Anolis sagrei: one gene and its partners. The protein of the gene in region 2 binds, or shares a complex with, the protein of the main gene of each other region. Links are inferred from orthologs where the notes say so. Each region holds a gene or a part of one and is shown on either strand. Other genes may lie near its edges. The genes, in order: SNCA, NAA20 and NAA25.

Evidence for each region.
Region 1: the proteins of NAA20 (region 2) and SNCA are in contact, whole or in part, in a cryo-EM structure (PDB 7STX), measured with the Homo sapiens proteins. The link is inferred for Anolis sagrei from reciprocal best matches to the Homo sapiens genes NAA20 and SNCA. Residues at the interface, in NP_057184.1 of Homo sapiens: Leu23, Thr24, Glu25, Tyr27, His73, Val74, Thr75, Ala76, Leu77, Ser78, Leu110, Phe111, Tyr137, Tyr138, Ser139, Ala140; in NP_000336.1 of Homo sapiens: Met1, Asp2, Val3, Phe4.
Region 3: the proteins of NAA20 (region 2) and NAA25 are in contact, whole or in part, in a cryo-EM structure (PDB 7STX), measured with the Homo sapiens proteins. The link is inferred for Anolis sagrei from reciprocal best matches to the Homo sapiens genes NAA20 and NAA25. Residues at the interface, in NP_057184.1 of Homo sapiens: Thr2, Thr3, Leu4, Arg5, Thr8, Cys9, Asp10, Leu12, Phe13, Phe15, Asn16, Asn19, Leu20, Pro22, Leu23, Thr26, Tyr27, Gly28, Ile29, Pro30, Leu33, Gln34, Leu36, Ala37, His38, Pro40, Glu41, Pro49, Glu52, Met54; in NP_079229.2 of Homo sapiens: Ser226, Glu227, Ile228, Asn259, Asp261, Asp262, Trp263, Gln264, Arg318, Arg321, Leu325, Lys362, Pro363, Cys364, Thr367, Asp368, Val371, Leu457, Thr459, Glu460, Leu461, Ser504, Ala506, Leu510, Leu532, Asp533, Lys535, His536, Ile537, Gln538.

Annotation. Positions count from the first base shown.
Region 1 is NC_090025.1:20,884,719-20,892,777, reverse strand, and holds the start of SNCA (alpha-synuclein), read left to right. Parts: upstream 1-4,977; 5' UTR 4,978-5,366; intron 5,367-8,059. UniProt on the Homo sapiens protein: Neuronal protein that plays several roles in synaptic activity such as regulation of synaptic vesicle trafficking and subsequent neurotransmitter release.
Region 2 is NC_090024.1:138,984,294-138,991,378, reverse strand, and holds the start of NAA20 (N-alpha-acetyltransferase 20), read right to left. Parts: upstream 3,034-7,085; 5' UTR 2,938-3,033; coding exon 2,885-2,937; intron 1-2,884. UniProt on the Homo sapiens protein: Catalytic subunit of the NatB complex which catalyzes acetylation of the N-terminal methionine residues of peptides beginning with Met-Asp, Met-Glu, Met-Asn and Met-Gln. Proteins with cell cycle functions are overrepresented in the pool of NatB substrates.
Region 3 is NC_090034.1:30,544,640-30,551,911, reverse strand, and holds the start of NAA25 (N-alpha-acetyltransferase 25, NatB auxiliary subunit), read right to left. Parts: upstream 3,098-7,272; 5' UTR 3,028-3,097; coding exon 2,967-3,027; intron 1-2,966. UniProt on the Homo sapiens protein: Non-catalytic subunit of the NatB complex which catalyzes acetylation of the N-terminal methionine residues of peptides beginning with Met-Asp, Met-Glu, Met-Asn and Met-Gln. May play a role in normal cell-cycle progression.

The DNA of each region.
Region 1 (8,059 bases), on a different chromosome or scaffold from region 2:
ATCTTACAGTAGGATTGAGCAATTTGCAAGCCAGATAAAACAAATTTATGTAAGACAGTAAGTTTGAAAGCACACAAAAATAATTTCATGCAGGGTAGTTACATAAAGAGTTGCTACTCAGTTCTATTGGGTGTCTTGATTTTTAGGCCTGTTTATAAGGTTATTTGAGGCATTGATTCAGAAAATTGCATTCGATAGACCATATCAGCTTTAGTTTCTAAGATATGGTTATCCTGGTTTTCTATAGGCGAGCAGATGGCAGCTGGTAGGTGGCAATGTTCAGTATCTCAAAAAGTCGAGCTGATTGGGGGAAACTGGTGTGGTTTTTTGAACTGGCGGGTCAAATGGGCTCATAAACAGGACTAACATTTGAGGTATCAAAATGTGTGTTGACCAGTGTGCTAGGAAGGCTTAGGCAACCACCTCAGGTCTTCAATTCTGGGAGGTGGAAGCAGGGATTGCCCAAAACTTCTTTTTTGGGGAGGGCTCTCTGAACATTTTCTTCTTCTGAAAAAGACGTGTATATGTTGCACCCTAGTTGTCCTTCACTGCTAAATTAGTCTGCTGCTTTTAGGAGGAGCAAAGGACCCAATTTCACTACCAGAATGGACGTTTCTGCTGCCATTGAAGTCAGAATGTGTACATAGAACGAAAGAAGAAGATATTATCTTGTCCTTTTTTTCCTCAGGCAGCAAAATGTTTTGAACCAACTTTGCAATTACCAGAGTCTCAGTCCATCTACCTGTGGCTTCCATTCCACTTAGCTATCAGAAGCACAGTGTGATCCACATATCCATGGCACTGGTATCTGCAGTTTTATTTATCCACGTCTGACCAAATACATCTCTTTAGGCATTTTCTAGATCTTCCAGCATAACGTAATGGTATGCTTGGGCCAGAACTACTTAATTTCAATAGGGTTCACAGTTTCATGTATCTACAAAACGCCCAGGAGCTTAACTTCTATAATATGGGGATCATACTCTATTGCAGTGGTTCTCAACCTGGGGTCCCCATATGTTTTTGGCCTACAACTCCCAGAAATCCCAGCCAGTTGACCAGCTGTTAGGATTTCTGGAAGTTGGAGGCCGAAAACATCTGGGGACCCCAGGTTGAGAACCACTGCTCTATTGTAAAGAAGAAGTCATAATATAAGTTTATTGAGTTCATCAAGAACTAGACTCTACTCAAGGTATAAAAGAGCCAGGCAACTCAATCTTTAGATGAAACTTTAAAAAAACAACAAAAATAAATCTTTATTTCAAGGATGAAAATGAGAAAATTCTGTACACCCTTTGTTTATTGTGGATTTAAGCTGATGTAACAGTGAACTGACCTTTATAACAGCAAATTGGCATGGTGTTTTTCTTATGTCTGAGTGGATTTTTAAAAAATGCGTAAATAACAAGAGAATTGAAGATGTTAACTCTCTCCTCTACTATGGTTGCAGTCTAGATGACTCCTATATGAGTAGTTTTATAAAAGGAGGCAAGTATCCATTGGGGTCTTTGCAGGTTTTCTTCCAAAGCTACTATAGGTATTAGCCAGACTAGGCTATGGTGAGGAAAGTAAGTGGAGCTGGACCATAGTAAAGGAAAAGAGTTTATGACCTTATCACCTGGCTTCGTCTGGTTTTGTGGAGGAAAGAGGGGGGGGGGCAGCGGACAGAGGCGGCCCTAGGTAATTTTCAACAGTATTTTGGCGCCCCCTCCCCCCCCCAACCAATCACTGATAGATATTTTCTGTTCATCGTGGGAGTTCTGTGTACCATATTTGGTTCAATTCCATCATTGGTGGAGTCCAGAATGCTCTTTGATTGTAGGTGAACTATACATCCCAGTAACTACAACTCGCATATGTCAAGGTCTATTTTCCCCCAAGAGTGCCTCAAGTGCGCCCCTGGGCAAAATCAACTATACTGCAAATGCTTACTTTGCGTAATGGGTTGAGACATCCCTGGCAGCAGAGTGAATCTGTTGCCTCACGAGCAGCTCTTCTTGATGATGCTTTCTCTATCACATGTGGGAAGTGTCGCCCTTCTGGGGAGGATTTGTGCTGGCTCCATTGGGGCCAGCACAATATAGGAAGCCTCCTGTGTTGTGTGGGAAGCATCCACAGATGCCTCCACCCCGATTGGGGGCAGGGCCTCCACCAGAAGTCACACAATGTTGTGTGATGGCTGGCATTTCCATCCCCAAAACAGACTGGAAGCTTCCTAGGACACTGAATTTGGTGAGTGTGATGAGGTTGTTAAACTCCTCTAACACTGCACAGGAAACATTTTCTGTAGAGAAAATAATATTTTTCTGCACATTCTGAACAATTTTGATTCTTTGGATTTTGGATGCATTTGGGATGCAGAAGTCATGGACATAGAGGACCAACGAGATGTTTGAAACTCCAGCTCCCAGAAAATCCAGCTAGGATGTCCAGTGAGGGAGGATTGGAGATAGTGATCCAAAACATCTCAAGAGACAGCCAAATGTTCCCCATCCCAGCTCCATTATTTGATATGCAACTGATCCTCGGTATCCACAAAGTCTGCATTGACAAATTCCATCATCTACAATTTGGAAATATTCTCTTCACATTCCATAAACCAATCATAATATTACCCTTCTATATAAGGGGCACCCTTTCCCTACACCATGTATATCATGTGATTTGAGAATCCACAGATTTTGGAGAGACCTGGAACCAAATACCAGAAGATACTATTATTTATTTACTGTATTTATATACCACCTTTCTCACCCCTGAGGGACTCAAGGTGGTTTACAACATACTAATGGCAAAAATTCAATGCCAACATACAGTACACAAAGAAATCATAATAATTAATTACTACATATAACTATTAACTTAAAACCAGTTAAAACCATTAAAGATAAGACATAAATAACATTTAAACATTCAGACAAAGCATAAAATCATCCTAGTATAAAGATTAAAATCCCATGATCCAGAAATCATATATCATAGCCATTCTGAACTGTCATTGCACATGTTCCTTAATTATTCTTCCTACTGCATTATTTATTAGCCAAAGGCTTGATCCCACAACCATGTCTTTGTTCTCTTTTTAAAGGTCAGGAGGGAGGGCGCTGATCTAATCTTTCTAGGGAGGCAGTTCCAGAGCCAAGGAGCCACAACTGAGAAGGCCCTGTTTGTTGTCCCCATCAACTGCACATGTGACAGAGGCGGGACCAAGAGCAGAGCCTCCCCAGTTGATCTTAACCTCCTTGATGGTTCATACTAAAAGCCGATTTTATTTGCTATGCAAATAAGCAATGCTTCTTATATAACCTACCTATCACTTGAGAGCACTGGTTCTCAACTTTTGGTTCTCCGGGTGCTTTGGACTTTGAGTCCCAGAATTTCAGGTAGTTAACCAAGCTAGGTGAAGCTTCTGGGAGTTGAAGACTGAAAAACCCCTAGGACCAAAGTTTGGGAACCACTGCAAGATCAGAGCCCACAGTATTTACTATGCAACAAGGAATACTTCTTATATAACCTCTATGTCTTTAAAGCACTTGTTACCAACTTTTGCTCCCATAAGTGTTTTGGAGCTTGGAGAAGACAATGATGTTGGGGAAATGGAAGGAAAAAGGAGGAGGGGACAACCAAGGGCAAGATAGATGGATGGTATCCTTGGCTTGGCTTGGAAGTAACTGGGGGTGGCCACAGCCAACAGGGAGCTCTGGCATGAGTTGATCCATGAGGTCATGAACAGTTGGAAGTGACTGAGTGAATGAATAAACAACAGCAACAAATGTTTTGGACTTTAGCTCTCAGAAGTCCTGACAGCTGGTTAAGCTGGCTATGACTTCTGGGAGTTAAATCATAGAATCATAGAATCAAAGAGTTGGAAGAGACCTCATGGGCCATCCAGTCCAACCCCCTGCCAAGAAGCAGGAATGTTGCATTCATGGCAGGGGGTTGGACGGGATGGCCCATGAGGTCTCTTCCAACTCTTTGATTCTATGATTCTCTGATTCTATGATTAACTCCCAGAAGTCATAGCCAGCTGTCAGGACTTCTGAGAGCTGAAGTCCAAAACATTTGTTGCTGTTGTTCTGGGAGTTAAAGTCCCAAAACCTGTAGGACCAAAGCTTGAGAACCACTACCAGTTTAGAGTACACCTATGGAAGCAGAAGCAGTGAAAAATATAGGTATAAGAGCGGAGGTCACTACACCCTTGCCCACCAACCTGCTTTTCCTTGGGTACATTTACACAGCAGAATATGCACCACTTTAACTGCCATGGCTCATTGCGACAACTCCCTTGATTCCAAAACATTGTGCCATAGCAGCTAACATGATGCCAAACTGAATTAATTATATAATATAGATGCACCCTGGAACCAAACCCCTGAAGAATGTTTGTTGTTCATTTGTTCAGTCGTCTCCGACTTCGTGACCTCATAGATGAGCCCACGCCAGAGCTCCCTGTCGGCTGTCACCACCCCCAGCTCCTTCAAGGTCAGTCCAGTCACTTCAAGGATGCCATCCATCCATTTTGCCCTTGGTCGGCCCGTCTTCCTTTTGCCTTCCACTTTCCCCAGCATAATTGTCTTCTCTAGGCTTTGCTGAAGAATGTATTTACTATGTAATAAGACATGCTTCTTATATAACATGTCTATCCCTTTAAACTACTGCTTCCTAAAATTTGGTTGTTTTGGGTGTGTTGAGCCTCAGCTCCCAGAATTCCTGACGTCCAAAGCAGCTGAGGCTTCTGGAAGCTGAAGTCTCAAAAACCTGCAGGACTAGAGTTTGCAGGAAGGCAGCGCAAACTGGAAGAAAAATTCCCCACTTGTTGCCCATCGGAGGAGGAAGAGTTTCTCCTTTCAGGAAAGCCTTCGAGGTGTATTTCGGAGGTGGAGGGGAGGGGAGAATAGGGGGGTTTCTTTACTACCGGGTGGAGCCAGCAAAAGATGGAGAGACCAGGGAGGAGGAGGAAGAGGAGGAGAGGAGGAAGGCGGCGTCCTGGCTCCGGCTTGGCTCCTGGGCGCGGCTTGCCTCCGCTACCTGACGAATGAGACAAGAGGCGGTGAAAAAAGGCGCAGGGGGAGGGGGAAAGAGGGAGAGAGAGGAAGAGAAGCAAGGGAAGGAACTGGCTGGTCTCCCTTCAAGCCCTGGCTGCCTTCCCTCTTTCCCACCCATTGCCCTGAAAGCGGAACCTGGGACCCATCTTTCCCCTCCTGGCCTTACTTCCCCTGGACCTGGGTACCACTCTTGCCTGCATCCCTGCATCCTTCAGCCGGGATGTACTAAGCCAAACATCGCCCTGCTCTCTTCTCCCTGCTCTTAATCACACTTCGAAAGAGTCCCGAGGCGAAAGGAGTCACATTTCATTGGCAAGGAAGGTAAGTAAACTGGTTGAATTGAGACTGGGTTCTTTTATTTCTCCCCTTTGGGGAGAGAAACAGAGAAGGGTTGTGGAGGGATGGCTTTTGCCAGTCTTGGGTGCACTTACAGGCGAGTAAATTCCACCGAGCAGGAAAACAGCTTGCTTTTGGTAGATCTAGGGATGCGTCTACATCCCTACAATTCAGTTTCAAAACACTTAGATTGTCATTACATAGTGGTATGGAATCATAGGATTTGTAGCCTGGTGTCCTGTCTGGTACATCTAGTAGCATCTACAGTCAAGAGTAAATGTATAGTCAAAGGCTTTCATGGCCAGAATCACTGTGCTGTTGTGAGTTTTCTGGGCTATATGGACATGTTCCAGAAGCATTCTCTCCTGATGTTTCGCCTGCATCTATGGCAGGAATCCTCAGATGTTGTGAGGCAGAACTCACAACCTCTGAGGATACCTGCAATATATGTAGGTGAAACATCAGGAGAGAATGCTTCTGGAGCATGGCCATACAGTCCAAAAAACTCACAATAACCCAGAGTGAATGTAGTTTGACAGCACTTTTAACTGCCAGGGCTCTATGGTATGAAATCCTTGGAGTTGTAGTTTGGAGGTACTAGCACTGTTTGGCTTGTTGTAAAACTACAACAAGCATTAATTCATGAGCCATGGCTATTAAAATAGTGTCACACACCACCATTCTACAGTGTCCAGATGGACAATAAGAAAGGTATCCTCGTGGCAATGCCAATTTGCATGTCTTACTCAAGAATAGAGCTTGGTTTAGTGTGGAATTATCTCGTGTGCAAGATTACAGGCAAGCATAGCAATCTTGTGACATAGGCTGCCTTCTGAAGTAAGTCCTGTTGGAAGTAGCAGGATTTATTTTGTATTGTCAAAGGCTTTCATGACCAGAATCACTGGATTGCTGTGAGTTTTCCAGGCTGTACGGCCATGTTCCAGAAGCATTCTCTCCTGACATTTCACCTGCCTCTATGGCAGGCATCCTCAGAGGTTGTGAGATCTGTAGTGTCGAAGGCTTTCATGGCTGGAATCACTAGGTTCTTGTGGGTTTTTTCGGGCTATATGTGAGATCTGTTGTAAACTAGGAAAGTAGAGTTACCTCTTCAGGAATCTACCATACTCTCCTTCTTCCCCATCCATTGCCATGAAAGCGGGAGCTGGGACCCATCTGTTGAAATTGTCCACATGCTTGTGGATTTCAGTGGCTTCTCTGTGTAGCTTGACATGACAGTTGTGAGAGTGGTCCAGCATTTCTGTGTTCTCAAATAATATGTATGCTGTGTCCAGGTTGGTTCATCAAGTACTCTACTATGGCTGACTTCTCTGTTTGAATTAGTCTGCAGTGCCTTTCATGTTCCTTGAATTGTGTTGTATTTACCGTTATTTTAAGAAAATGACTATGAGACTTTGGATACCTGTGGAGCATCTTCCAAATGTTGCAAGTATGTATGTGTGAACAGGTGTCTAGCCCTGAACACCTGTTTTTCAAGACCTCTGTATCTGTATACATCTTTATAGATCTTTTGACTACTGTCAAAAATCAAAATATGCATGTGGTTGAGTTCTTTTCCCCCTCGAGGGGCTGTGGTTGATTTGCATCACTTTGCTGGACTTCTAGGACCAGTGAGGAATGTTGTAGTATCCATTCAAAATGGACCTGAACTGTTTTGCTATTGGGAGTAACACATCCATTTCAGTGAATGGGCTACATCTCTATCTGTATCCTAATGAGGACAGAATTCTCTGTCTTCCCCACAATGGCAAACCAAACGATCCAGTAAACACCTCCAGAGCCTCGCCCTGACTCCTCAGGAATTCAGTGGCATTGCTCCTAGCAGGGTTTGCTGCTAAAATTCCCTTGGGGAGATGGAAATAACAAACATAGAACAGTGGCATTTAAGAACACTAACAAGTCTCTGGGGCAACTGTAAGCATAGTTATTGGACTGTAATTCCCAGCAGCCCCAAGCAATATTGCCAGGAGTGAGGAAGGATGGTGTTGTGGTGCTTTAAGATAACAGGTCTTTTGGGTGTTTTGGATATGGTACAAATGCAACCTGATTTCCAAGCCATGAAATATTGAGTTATGTTCTATCTGTTTATAATTTACCTAGAACCAGAACTCTATTAATACCCCCCACATCCAGACTAATGGTGCTTGTTGCCTTGTAGTAGTGTTCAAAGAGCTAGCCATGCTAGTATGTTTTGCTTCATTAGACTTTTTGGTTATATATGAACATGAAAAGGCATAAAATAATCCAAAAAGAGGCTAAAAAAAGAAATTTTAACATAAGATATCATGCACACAGTCTGTTTCACTTATGCATTGCTTTCTGTAAGAACACAGTCATCCAAGACTCTATGGAATCTGTAGGTGGGCAATTGGATATCTTTTCTGAGATGTGTGAGGATATTTTGGCTCTTTTCACAGGAGTAAGGAACATTCATACAGATCTTACTACAGTATAGTCTTGCTTATCCAACCTCCACTCATCCAACATTCTGTATTATCCAACGCAGTCTGCCTCCTGTCTGGATCTACAGCTGTTTCAATATATTGTGACGTTTTGGTGCTAAATTCATAAATACAGTAATTACTACATAAAGTTACCATGTATTGAACTGCTTTTTAAATCAAATTGTTGTAAAATATTATGTTTTGGTGCTTAATTTG
Region 2 (7,085 bases):
TCTGGAACTCATTACCTGGAGAGATCAGGAAAGCCACTTCACTAGAAACATTCAAAAAGAACCTTAAAACCTGGCTCTTCCACTGCGCCTTTAGCGAGTACGTGCACAACATGACACTATTGCTCCCCTCACGCTTCTGCCACTGGAGTACATGCCCTCCAAATGGGAAGTTTAGTTCCACAACCCTGTGTGTTTTTATGAGCTCCCTGCAAATAACTTGCTCCTATTTTTATCTCATTCGAGTTTTTTTAATCATTTTATCCTGTACATGTGGCCCGCCCATTGTTATCATGATTGTGTTTATTGGAATGTTATTTTGTTACTGTGTTTATACTTTTTCTCTCTCTATGTAATGTTGATGATGTTGCTTGTTGTTTATGTTCTTGTTTTAGTTTGCTGTAACATGTTGTCCGGGCTTGGCCCCATGTAAGCTGCTCCTAGTCCCCATTGGGGAGATGGTGGCGGGGTATAAATAAAGATTATTATTATTATTATTATTATTATTATTATTATTATTATTATGTCATGCTGTTTACTCTGTATGTTTAGGTGATGTTGCTTGGAAACCACCTTGAATCTCCCTTGGTGAGATAGAGCGGTATATAAATAAGGTTTTATATATTACTAGCTGTCCCCTGCCACGCATTGCTGTGGCCCAATCTGTTGATCTGGGAAATAAAGTAATGAGGAATTGTTGGTTTCTAATATATTTAATTTCTTGATGCTTGTGGGTAAACAGTATTTCTTGCTGTTTCTTTGTCAGTGTTGATGTGGAGATTGTCCAGTTTGCCCACCTTAGAACACGCAACATATCATTGTCCTTCTTTACTATATCTCTGTGTGTGAATCATATCTATCTATCTATCTATCTATCTATCCTTATCTATGGCTGGATGGCTCTTTGTCAGGAGGACTTTGATTACGTTTTCTTGCCCTGATGAAGGGAGTTGGACTGGATGGCCTTAAGTATTTTCTGATGGTCATGGGGGTTCTGTGTGGGAAGTTTGCCCCGATTCTGTCATTAGTGGGTTCAGAATGCTCTTTGATTGTAGGTGAACTATGAATCCTAGTGACTACAACTCCCAAATGTCAAGGTCTATTTCCCCCAAACTCCATCTGTGTTCATATTTGGGCAGATTGAGTGCTTGTGCCAAGTTTGGTCCACATCCATCATTGAGTCCACAGTGCTCTCTCGATGTACAACTCCTAAACTCATGATCAATGCCCGCCAAACCCTTCCAGTATTTTCTGCTGGTCATGGGAGTTCTGTGTGCCAAGTTTGGTTCAATTCCATCGTTGATGGAGTTCAGAAAGCTCTTTGATTGTAAGTGAACTATAAATCCCAGCAACTACAACTCCCAAATGACAAAATCATAATTTTTTGAGTGATGGTCACTCCTTGTGTTGTGAGACTTTTGTTGCCAAGTTTGGTGTGATTTCGTTCATTGGTTCTTTTGTTTTTAAGGAACTCATTATGCACAGAGCACTTATATATATATAGATTACATGTTCTAGAAGCATTCTCTCCTGACGCTTTGCCCACATCTATGGCAAGCACCCTCAGAGGTTGAAGGGTGTGTTGGAAAGTAGGCAAGTGGGGTTTATATATCTGTGGAAGGTCCAGGGTCCAATTCAAGAGAGATATTGACAAGCTGGAATGTGTCCAGAGGAGGGCGACTAAAATGATCAAGGGTCGGGAGAACAAGCCCTATGAGGAGCGGCTTAAGGAGCTAGGCATGTTTAGCCTGAAGAAGAGAAGGCTGAGAGGAGATATGATAGCCATGTATAAATATGTGAGAGGAAGCCACAGGGAGGAGGGAGCAAGCTTGTTTTCTGCTTCCCTGGAGACTAGGACGCGGAACAATGGCTTCAAAGGTTCCTGTGGGTTTTTTCGGTCTATAGAGCCATGTTCCAGAGGCATTTCTCCTGATGTTTCACCTGCATCTATGGCAAGCATCCTCAGAGGTAGTGAGGTCTGTTGGAATTAGGACAATGGGTTTATATATCTGTGGAATGGCTGGGGTGGGGCAAGGAGCTTTTCCCTGCTGCAGTTAGGTGTGAATGTTTTAGCTGATCACCTTCATTAGCATTTGAAGGCCTGCCTGAGCCTGGGAAAATCTCTTGCTGGGAGGTGTTAAGATGTGCCTGGTTGTTTCCTCTCTGTTGTTTTGCTGTTGTAATTTTAGAGTTTTTTTAATACTGGTAGCCAGATTTTGTTCATTTTCATGATCTCTTCCTTTCTGTTGAAATTGTCCACATGCTTGTGGATTTCAATGGCTTCTCTGTGTAGTCTGACATGGTGGTTGTTGGTATGGCTTCAAACTACGAGAGGAGATTCCATCTGAACATGAGGAAGAACCTCCTGACTGTGAGAGCCGTTCAGCAGTGGAACTCTCTGCCCCGGAGTGTGGTGGAGGCTCCTTCTTTGGAAGCTTTTAAACAGGGGCTGGATGGCCATCTGTCAGGCGTGATTTGAATGCAACATTCCTGCTTGTTGGCAGGGGGTTGGACTGGATGGCCCATGAGGTCTCTTCCAACTCTTTGATTCTATGATTCTAGGGTGTGAGAAATAACTCGTGTCTGTTGGAGGCAAGTGTGAATGTTGCAATTGGCCACCTTGATTAGCATTGAATAGCCTCACAGCTTCAAAGCCTGGCTGTTTCCTGCCTGAAATGCAGAAATACCCGCTCGATTTGGGGGCGGTTGCAAAGACAGCCTCAGTTTCTCCACTGAAGGCTTCTCCTCAGCAAGTGCAGGTAGCCAGAGAATCTCAATACACTGTATAGGGGCAGAAGCCTTTTCCAAGAGGAGACAGAGGCCCCTCCACAGCCAGCAAGGGAAACCACCGCATGGCCCTCCCTTCGCCCGCAGCGCCCCTTCTCACATGTTGTTGAAGCGGAAGAGGTCATTACACGTGAACGCCCGAAGCGAAGTCATGGCTTCTCTCCTCTTGCCGGCAATGGAGGAGGGAGGCCCAGGCAAAGCGAGGACGGCCGACCCGGAACTGCTCCTGTCCCATTGGATCACTTCCTCACATGGGGAGAGATGCTCGCGTCATCAAGGGCGGAGCTACGCCTCTGACGTCAGAGCATTCGACAGACAGCCGGAATATAGACAGTCGAACGCAGAGCAAGGAAAGACAGCCACGCCTCTTCGGTCTGCGCCGCTCTTCCGAGTTCCAAAGCAAAGGGCTGTTAGAACCGAGGCTTCCAAGGTTCTTGTGGATGTAGAGCAGGCCTGGGCGAACTTTGGCCCTCCAGGTGTTTTGGACTTCAACTCCCACAATTCCTGAGGCCACGTACCTCCTCCCACAGGCAAAAACCCTGATGTCATAGATTTATTTATTTGCTTTATTTCTATACCGCATTTTTCAGCCCTTAACAGGCGACTCAATGCGGTTTACATGGTACAATTATCAAACAGTGTCAGTGCAATTAAAACATAACAATGCAACAAACAGGATCAACAGCATCAATCCACAACAGTTAACAATCAACAAGACAGATCAACAAAACAAACATAACATAACGCCTCAGTTGAAATCAGATCCGTTCTCATAATCCTTGTGCCATTCCTATGTTCCATTTACCCTCTTCCTATGATTGGTTGCACTGCTTAACCAAACGCTTGTTCATAAAGCCAGGTCTTAACCATTCTCCGAAACGTCAGCAGCGAAGGTGCCTGTCTGATGTCTGCCGGTAGGGCATTCCATAGCCGAGGGGCCACCACTGAGAAGGCCCTGTCTCTCGTCCCCGCCAAGCGCGCCTGTGATGCAGGCGGGATCGAGAGCAGGGCCTCCCCAGACGATCTTAATGTTCTGTTCAGTTCATAGGTGGAGATGCGTTCGGAGAGGTAAGCAGGGCCAGAACCGTTTAGGGCTTTATAGGCTAAAGCCAGCACCTTGAATTGTGCCCGGTAGCGGATTGGCAGCCAGTGGAGCTGGCTCAGCAGAGGAGTGGTATGCTCCCTGAGTGCCGCTCCCGTTAGCAACCTGGCCGCCGAGCGCTGGACCATCTGAAGCTTCCAGGCAGTCTTCAAGGGCAACCCCACGTAGAGCACGTTGCAGTAATCAATCCGGGGTGTAACCAGAGCGTGGACTACCGTGGCCAAGTCAGACTTCCCAAGGTACGGGCGCAACTGGCGCACAAGTTTGAGTTGTGCAAATGCTCCCCTGGACACCGCCAAAACTTGGGGTTCCAAGCTTAGCGAAGAGTCCAGGATCACACCCAAGCTGCGAACCTGCGTCTTCAGGGGGAGTGTAACCCCGTCTAACACAGGCTGTAACCCTATACCCTGTTCGGCCTTTCGACTGACCAGGAGTGCCTCTGTCTTATCTGGATTCAGTTTCAATTTGTTAGCCCTCATCCAGTCCGACACAGCGGCCAAGCAGCGGTTCAGGACCTGAACAGCCTCCTTAGTAGTAGGTGGGAAGGAGTGACAGAGTTGGACGTCATCTGCGTCCAGAGTTGGACGTCATAGATAGACCAATGATTCCCAAACTTTACCTCTCCAGGTGTTTTGGACTCCAACTCCCCAAATCCTCAACCACTTTGGCCATTCTGGGAGCTGAAGTCCAAAACATCTGGGTCGGAAACACTGCCAGGGATTGTGGCTCTGACTGTACTGGGCTTTTGCGGTGCTGTGATCCAATATGCTGATGACAATGTCGTCTGTGCGCATTCAGAAGAACATCTACAAGCCACTCTATAAACACCTTTACAGAAGCATACGAGAAGCTCGGCCTGTCATTGAACACCAAGAAAACCAAAGTTCTCTTCCATCAGTCACCAGCCAACCCCTCTCCAATGCCAGAAATGCACCGTAATGGTGTAACATTAGAAAATGTTGATCATTTCCGCTACCTTGGCAGCCATCTCTCCACAAAAGTCAACATTGACTCCACAAAAGTCAAATACAACACCGCCTGAGCTCTGCGAGTGCAGCATTTTCCCAAATGAAGCACAGAGTGATATCTATAGGGGTACTAAGGTGCTTGTTTATAAAGCTATTGTCCTCCCAACCCTGCTGTATGCCTGCGAAACATGGACTGTCTACAGGCGTCACATGCAACTCCTGGAATGATTCCATCAGCGCTGCCTCCGGAAAATCCTGCAAATATCTTGGGAAGACAAGTGGACAAACGTCAGTGTGCTGGAAGAAGCAAAGACCACCAGCATTGAAGCGATGGTCCTTTGCCATCAACTCTGCTGAAACGGCCACGTTGTCCGGATGCCCAACCACCTTCCCCCAAAATAGTTGCTCTACTCCGAACTCAAGAACGGAAAACGGAATATTGGAGGACAGGAAAAGAAATTTAAAGATGGGCTCAAAGCCAACCTTAAAAACTCTGGAATAAACACTGAGAACTGGGAAGCCCTGGCCCTTGAGTGCTCCAGCTGGAGGTCAGCTGTGACCAGCAGTGCTGCAGAATTTGAAGAGACATGAATGGAGGGCAAAAGAGATAAACGTGTCAAGATGAAGTCGCGTCAAGCCAACCCCGACTGAGACTGCCTTCCACCTAGAAACCAATGCCCTCACTGTGGGGGAAGATGCAGATCAAGAATAGGGCTCCGCAGTCACCTATATATCCGCTGCTAGTACACCGATCTTGGAAAACAATCATACTCGGACAAGTAAAAGTTACTTAGGTGATCTCTCGTAGCTTGAGGTGTCGTGGCAGTGGGTCTGTAGGTGGCTGTGGAGTCCTATTCTTGATCCCCATGTTCTCTCACAGTGAGGACATTGGTTTCCAGACGGCGGTTCTGGTCAGGGTTGGCTTGATGTGTCTTCCTCTTGGCACATTTCTCCCTTTCGCCCTCCGCCCTCCTTCAAATTCAGCAGCATTGCTGGTCACAGCTGACCTCCACTTAGAACGATCAAGGGCCAGGGCTTCCCAGTTCTCGGTGTCTATGCCACAGTTTTTAAGCTTAACTTTAACCCTATCTTTAAATCTATTTTCCTGTCCACCAACATTCGGTTTCCCATTCTTGAGTTCAGAGTAGAGTAACTGCTTTGGGGGACAGTGATCGGGCATTCGCATAATGTGGCCAGTCCAGCAAAGTTGATGGTGAAGGACCATCATTTCAATGCTGGTAGTCTTTGCTTCTTCCAGCACACTGACATTTGTCCTCCTGTCTTCCCAAGACATTTGCAGGATTTTTCCGAGGCAGCGCTGATGGAATCGTTCCAGGAGTTGCATATGACATCTGTAGACAGTCCATGTTTCATAGGGGTATAGCAGGGTTGACCAGACAGGATGTAGTAATGCTTACTTTGTCATAGGGTGCGTCTATGCTGTCAAATTAATTCAGTTTGGCATTTTTACTGCCATGGATCATTGCTTTGGAATCATGGGGATTGTAGTTTGGTGGGTCGCCAGCATTCTTTGCCAGGGAAAGCTACAGCCATTGTAAAACTACAAGGGCTGTCATTTAAAGTGGTGTCAAACTGCATTAATTCAACAGCGTAAACACACCTTTTGTTTTGCATTTGTGTAGCCACGTATTGGCTTTGAGCTGGTTTGAGGGCATCAAGACAATTTGACAAGGTGGAGGGGGCATTTTTGACAATTTCATCTTCCATGTGTTTTGGGCTTCAGCTCCCAGAATCCCTGATCAATGGCCAAAGGAGTTGAAGCTTCTTGGGGATAGGTAAAGGTAAAAGTTGTCTGCTGACATTAAGTCCAGTTGTGTCCCACTCTGGGGGTTGGTGATCATCACCATTCTAAGCTGAAGAGCTGGCGTTGTCCGTAGACACCTCCAAGGTCATGTGTCTGGCATGACTGCATGGAGCGCCATTACCTTCTCGCCAGAGCGGTACCTATTGATCTACCCACATTTGCATGTTTTCAAACTGCTGGGTTGGCAGAAGCTGGGGCTGACAGCGAGAGCTCACGCCGCTCCCCGGATTCGAACCTGCGACTTTTTGGTCAACAAGCTCAGCAGCTCAGCAGTTTAACTCATTGCACCACTGGGAGTTCCCGGGGGTGGAAGTTAAAAAAAAAAAAAGCCTGGGATACTGGAGTTTGGGGTAACTGTGACACACTATGGATTTTGTGGCCTGAATTCCACATCATCAAATACAGT
Region 3 (7,272 bases), on a different chromosome or scaffold from region 2:
GTGATGTTCTGGGTTATATGGCTGTATGGGTCCTCAGTTAACACAGTTCAAAGCAGATATCGGCCCCTTCCACAAAGCTGTATAAAATCCCACATTATCTGCTTTGAACTAGTTTATATGGCTGTGTGGACTGAGATAACGCAGTTCAAAGCCGATATTGTGGAATTTTCTGCCTTGATATTTTGGGTTATAGGGCTGTGTGGAAGGGCCACCAGTTCAAAGAAGATATTGTGGTAAAGGTTTCCCCTTGACATTAAGTCTAGTTGTATCTGACTCAGTGGTGCTCATCTCTCATTTCTAAGCCGAAGAGCTGGAATTGTCAGTATACACTTCCAAGTTCATGTGGCCAGCATGATTGCATAGAGCACTGTTACCTTCCTGCCAAAGTGGTACCTATTGATCTACCCACACTTGCATGTTTTCCAACTGTTGGTTGGCAGAAGCTAGGGCTGATAGCAGGAGCTCACTCCATCACGCAGTTTGGAACCACTGACCTTCCAGTCAGCTCAGCTGATAAATCTGCTGTGCCACCACAGCCCCTATCAAGATATTCTGGTATCTGGTATAAATACTGGTACTGTATTACATGCATAGTGGTATAATAATATAGTACAATTAAATATAATAATACAAGAATTGTGTATTATATAATACATGTAACATTACTAATAATTTTGTAGTACAGTGGTATAGTACAATATAATGTATAGTACTAATATTGTGCTTTGCTAATAATATAATTTGCTTATTTGTGTGACCATGTCTCCCCCTATAAACCCATTCAGGCCTTAAGGTCCTCCGGGAAGGCCTTCTCACAGTCCGACCACCCTCACAAGTGTGGCTGGTGGGAACGCGGGAAAGGGCCTTCTCAGTAGTGGCTTCCCAGCTCTGTAATGTCCTTCCCAAAGAAATCAGACCAGCCACCTTCAGGAAAGAATTGAAAACATGGACGTGGAAGAAGGCATTTGGAAGTGAGCAATTATAACTTATCATGATGGTGGTTTTTATAGGTATACAAATGCAAACTGTCTTGAACTGGTTTTGTCCTGGTGAACAATATGTTTTTAAATCCAGAAATAATTTAATCTGTGCATTTTACTATGATATTATTATTTTAGTTTGTGATTTTTTTTATTTTGTCGCTATGTATGTTTTTATTCTTGTTTTGGTCTTGTATTTATTCTCTGTAAGCCATCCTGAATCCTGTTGGAAAGAGGGCAGGATGTAAATAAAGTTTATTATTAAATATTATAATGTGATACGATATAATACCACTAATAATACATTATAAAAATATATTATAATAATATGGAAATACTAATATATTAAATGGGTTGCTGTGAGTTTTCCGGGCTGTCCAGCCATGTTCCAGAAGCATTCTCCCCTGAATATTTCACCCACATCTATGACAGGCATCCTCAGAGGTTGTGAGGTATGTTGGAAACTAGGCAAGTGGGGTTTTACATATCTGTGGAATGATGTCCAGGGTGGGAGAAAGAACTCTTGTTTGTTGGAGGCAAGTGTATTAAATATAATTACTACTGATAATACATAATATATCACGATACACCATTTTATTATTGTATACTTGGAGTTGTCATGTTTTTAATTGTGAGCTGCTTGGAGTCTCTGTATGGAGATAAAAGTGGGATATCAATAAATAAAATACAAATTAATAAATAAATAAAGCACATCTTGCGGATTCTCTGCCTTGATATTCTGGGTTGTATGTCTAAAGGCCCTTCCTCACTGCCATATAACCCAGAATATCAAGAATATCAAGGCAGAAAATCCTACAATATCTGCTTTGAACTGGGTTATCTTTGGTTTGGTTTTTATGGCGTCCATGTGTTTGTCTCTAGATAACTATTTTTATTTAACTATGAATTCTATTTTCTTGTTAGTAATTATTAATTTATAATGACGTTATTTTCTACTGTTTGACTTATGTGTATGCTTTTTTTTTTTTTACTAAGGCATTGAAAGTTTGCCTTTCTTTTTTGCGTGGAAGCCAGCCTGAGTCCCCTTGGGGAGATAGGGCAGCCTATAAATAAAGTATTATTATTATCTGAGACCACAGTGCCATATATTCCAGTTCAAAGAAGATATTTTGGGATTTTATTCAGCTATGTGGAAGCGGCCCTAGACATGCCCCATCCCATGATCTGATCTCGGGTTTTCTGCTTTAAACTGGATATGAGCCCGCACCGCCAGATAATCTGGGATAAACAGAACACCTGGGATCAGGTCCTGGGATATAGGGCATGTCTGAAAGGTCCTAGGTCACCTTCTGGGGAAAAAAAGCGGGGTAAAAAAAACATCCATCAACATAACAATAGCTTTGGAGATCATGGGGAACAATTAACCGCCTCCCCCCCGTGATGGTGTTTGCTGCCTGTGCCAATGTTCATAAGATTTCCCCTCACTTTCTGTCCTTGTGAGAATATAATTTGGAACATTTTCGCTTGTTGTGGAAACAAGGACTGGGGATTGGGCTTCAGTGGAGCCCCCTTTCCCCCTGATAGTAACTCTTTCAGGAGTGAATTTCCCTTTCAAGGGGAAGAATCCTCTCACTTCTTGTTAAGGAGTCGTTTGGAAGTGAGGGGTCTGTAAATCGGGGACGGCTTGTATCAAGGAACAGCCAAGACGCAATCTCAAGTCTCTGAGCTAAGCTTGGCAGTAGGGAAGTTGACTGTGGAGCCCCGTTTAGGCCGCCCTTCCTTCTCAGGCCCAAGGCCTGTTCCTTTTCCCACCCAGGACAGGGAGAAAAGGGCGGGAAGGGCCCCAGGGGGGCTGAGGCGAAGCTGAGGCGAAGGGAGGACAGCCAGTGCGCATGCGCCTTCCAGAGGGAGGAAGGCAGGCGCCGTTCGCCGCGCGCGGAGACGCTGAGGGAGATGGGGGGGGGGGAAGGGGGAATGAGGGGAAAAGGAAGCACCGGTGGCAATGGGAAGGAAAAAGCTCGGTACCGTAAATGGGCCGGAGGCGCCGGTCGTTGGGATCCTGCACATGGCCCCGCGCCGCCGCCATGATGAGAGCGCAGAACCGCAGCGCGCAGCCGCCGCCTCCGCCGCTCGCCGGCCCTACTGGCGAGCGGAGGGGCGGGGTCTCTCTCAACAGGGGGCGTGGCTTAGCCGGGCGCGAGGGCGGGGAAAGGCGGGCCAATCAGAGGCCGCGAGGGGCGGGGCCTATAACAAGGGCGCGAGGGGGAGGAGGGGCCAATCAGAGACCGCGAGAGGCGTAGCCTACAGCAAGGGCGCGAGGGAAAATGGAGGGGGGAGGAGAAAGGGGGGGTAATCAGAGGCCAACAGGGGCGGAGCCTACAGCGAGGGAGGAGGGAGGGGCCAAACGGAGTCCGCGAGGGGCGGAGCCTACAGTAAGGGTGCGAGGGGAAAAGAAGTGGGGGAGGCGCTAATCGGAGGCCCGCGAGGGAGAAGGGGTGGGGGCCAATCGGAGACCGATATGAGCGGGGCCTACAGCAAGGGTGCGCGGGAAAGGGGAGGGGCCAATCAAAGGCTGCGAGTAGAGTGGCTTACAGCAAAGGGGCGAGGGAAAGGGGAGGGAGGAGGGGCCAATCGGAGGCCGCGAGGTCGCCCCTTTAGCAGCGGCGCGAGGGATAACTGAGGGAGAGAGGAGGGAAGGGGCCAATCGGAGGCCGCGAGGGGCGGGGCTCACAGCGAGAGAAGAGGGGGGAAGTAGGAGGGCCAATCGGAGGCCGCGAGGGGCGGGACGTACACTAAAGGCGCGCGGTAAAGGGGAGGCAGCGTGCCATGCATTCTATGGCAGTCTGGAGATGGGCCCTTCTACACATGAGATTGAAATATTTGTCACCCACCTCTCCTTTCAGATTTTTTTAAAAGTTGCAATGTTTGCATCCATATTATTATTATTATTATTATTATTATTATTTCATTTCTGACCCGCCTCTCCTTGTGACTCAAGGCGGTTTACAATGTCACTCGAAATCCACTCAGTTATCCTCACCCTTTCCAATGCCAGAAACACAGCTTAATGGTGTAACATTAGAAAATGTTGACCATTTCCGCTACCTTAGCAGCCTCCTCTCCACCAAAGTCAACGTTGACACTGAAATTCAACACCGCCTGAGCTCTGCGAGTGTAGCCTTTTTCCGAATGAAGCAGAGAGTGTTTGAGGACCGGGACATCCGTAGGGATACCAAGGTGCTTGTTTATAAAGCTATTGTCCTCCCAACCCTGTGATACGCATGCGAGACGTGGACAGTCTACGGAAAATCCTGCAAATCTCTTGGGAAGACAAGCAAACAAATGTCAGCGTGCTAGAAGAAGCAAAGACCACCAGCATTGAAGCGATGGTCTTCTGCCATCAATTCTGCTGGACCGGCTATGTTGTTCTGATGCCTGACCACCGTCTTCCAAAGCAGTTGTTTTACTCCGAACTCAAGAACGGAAAACGGAATGTTGGTGGGCAGGAAAAGAGATTTAAAGATGGGCTCAACTCAAAGCCAACCTTAAAAACTCTGGCATAGACACTGAGAACTGGGAAGCCCTGGCCCTTGACCGCTCCAGCTGGAGGTCAGCTGTGACCAGCAGTGCTGCAGAATTTGAGGAGGCACGAGTGGAGGGTGAAAAAGAGAAACGTGCCAAGAGGAAGGCGCATCAAGCCAACCCCGGCCAAGACCGCCTTCCACCTGGAAACCAATGCCCTCACTGCGGAAGAAGCTGCAGATCAAGAATTGGGCTCCACAGTCACCTGTGGACCCACTGACAGAACACTGACCTTGGAGGACCATCCTCCTCCAACTACAAGGGATCACCTAAGTGAAGTGAAGTGAACTTCTTGTATACAAATAATAAAAGTGAAAATCTGTATGTGTGTAAATTTATCTCCTCTGTCCCAAATTTCCTTCCTGTGGAGGCAATTCTCTGTCCTTTTAAAAATCTTTTTTCCTGTAAATGTTCTCCAAACCTCATCAAAACCACTTTTCCATATTCCTCTTTTAACTTTTTATGTCAATTTTGTCACTTTTTTTTACATGTCAATTTTGTCACTTTTTGCCAATTTTCATAATTTCTTATACCACTCTTCCTTTTTTATATTTATTTCCCTTATCCAATTTCTTGCTATAAGTAATTTTGCTACTGTTAATAGGTTGGATATACAACCTATTAACAACTCCGCTGGTCTATTAGTTGCAGACACAATGCAGGCAGTGAAGAACGCCTTCAGTGCCGTGAAGGAGGCCCTAAGTGAGGTTCTAGCCTGTACTCAGTCAGATTTGTCCTGAGTCCTCCCCAGCGGCACACTAGTCTCTGTCTCGCGTGTTTCATCACCACCAGCTCCCTGGAGAATCAAGGACCCAAATCTGGTCAGCCTCACATCAATACCAGGCAATATTCTGGAAAAGATTGTTAAGGAAGTGAAATAGAGCAATTTGGAGTGGCCAGAGATAGTGAGATCCATGCCCAGAACCCAGGACTGAGAGCCAACCTTTAGGCAGCGAGAGGCTCCGGTGCCCAACCAGCTGTGGATCCATGTGCTTGGTGAGCAAAGGAAGCCCAATCCGACGAAAGAATGCTCACAATGTTGGAGACAAGCCGCTAAATATTTTATTTAAAGTCAGCTGAAGTGATGACAGCTTGTGGTAGCCCACTAAAGACAGCTGAGATACATTTTACAGAAAAACATGCACTTTTATACACTTTTACAGGTTCAAAATTCCCACCGCCCCCAGCTGGACCCACCTTCACCATGATTGGCTGAGCCAGCATGACATCAGTGGGGGCTCCCTGGAGAGGCGGGAGAGAGTACTGACTGCCTCAGATGGAGATTGCCCTCTGTCCAATGGCTAGAGAGGGGATGGCGAGCTTCAGAACAATGGATCAGATGAGGACTGATGATGGTATTAAATATCCCTGATGTGTGAGCACAATGACCCTGATGGGTCTGCCAAAACTTGTATTGTCCCTTAGGCGTTCAAATTCTGATCAAGCACAGTGTCTCGAACACCAAACTCCCATGCAAGTTCCAACAGAAAATATTGTCCATATAAATGTCCAATGTCTAGGAATAACAAAGGAGGAAAATAGCCTTTCCAAAACTGTGGCATGGTATCTCGTGACTGGAAACTCCGTGCTGGGATGGCAAATGTCAGGTATTGTCCAAACAGTAACACAAAGGAAGGGTGGTCCACCTGGCTCCTGTTATCCTCTGTCTCACTTGGGTTGTATGGGTTCCATTGAGGTAGCTGATTGATCCAATCAATGCAAATGAAGCCTGGCAAGATGTTGGCTGATCTTCCCAGGACAGGAAAAAGGCAGGCAAAGGTCACTGCAATAAGTTGGTGACTTCTCCAATACTTTAATAAAGTGAATGAACCCAGAGAGTGATTTTCCCCAATGCTTCTTCTTCATCCTGGAAAGAAAGGGTGAGTGGAGTGCCACCAGCAGGGTTCCATCCTGGTCCTGTTCAACATCTCTATTAACAACTTAGATGAAGGATGAGAAGGCATGCTCATCAAGTTTGCAGACGAGATCAAATTGAGAGGGAGAGCCAATACTCCAGAAGACAGGAGCAGAATTCAAAATGATCTTAACGGATAAGACAGATGATTGGCCAAAACTAACAAAAAGGTAGTTCAACAGGGACAAATGCAAGATACTCCACTTAGGCAGAAAAAATTAAATACAAAGATACAGAACGGGGAATGCCTAGCTCAATAGCAGTACATGTGAAAAAGATCTCAGAGTCCTCGTGGGGAGGAAGGTTAACATGAGCCAGCAATGTCCTGTGGCAGCTAAAAAAGCCAATGGGATTTTGGCCTGTATCAACAGGAGTGTAATGCCTAGATCCAGGGAAGTCATGCTACCTCTCTATTCTGCCTTGGTCAAACCACACCTCGAATCACACTGTGTCCAATTCTGGACACCACAATTTAAGGGAGATGTTGACTCTGAGCTGGAATGTGTCCAAAAGAGGGTGACTAAAAGGATCGAGGGTCTGGAGAACAAGCCCTATGAGGAGTGACTGAAAGGCTGGGGCATGTTTAGCCTGCAGAATAGAAGGCTGAGAGGATCAAGAGGTGAAGGAGGGGAAGTCATAAGGAAGAGGGAGCAGACGTATTTTCTGCTGCCCTGGAGACCAGGACACAATGGAACAATAGCTTCAAACTATAGGAAAGAAAGGAGACTCCACCTAATCACGAGGAAGCACTTCCTAACTGTGAAAGAGAGAACTGTTCAGCAGTGGAACTCTCTGTCCAAGAGTGTGGTGAAGGGAAGCTCCTTCTTTGGAGGC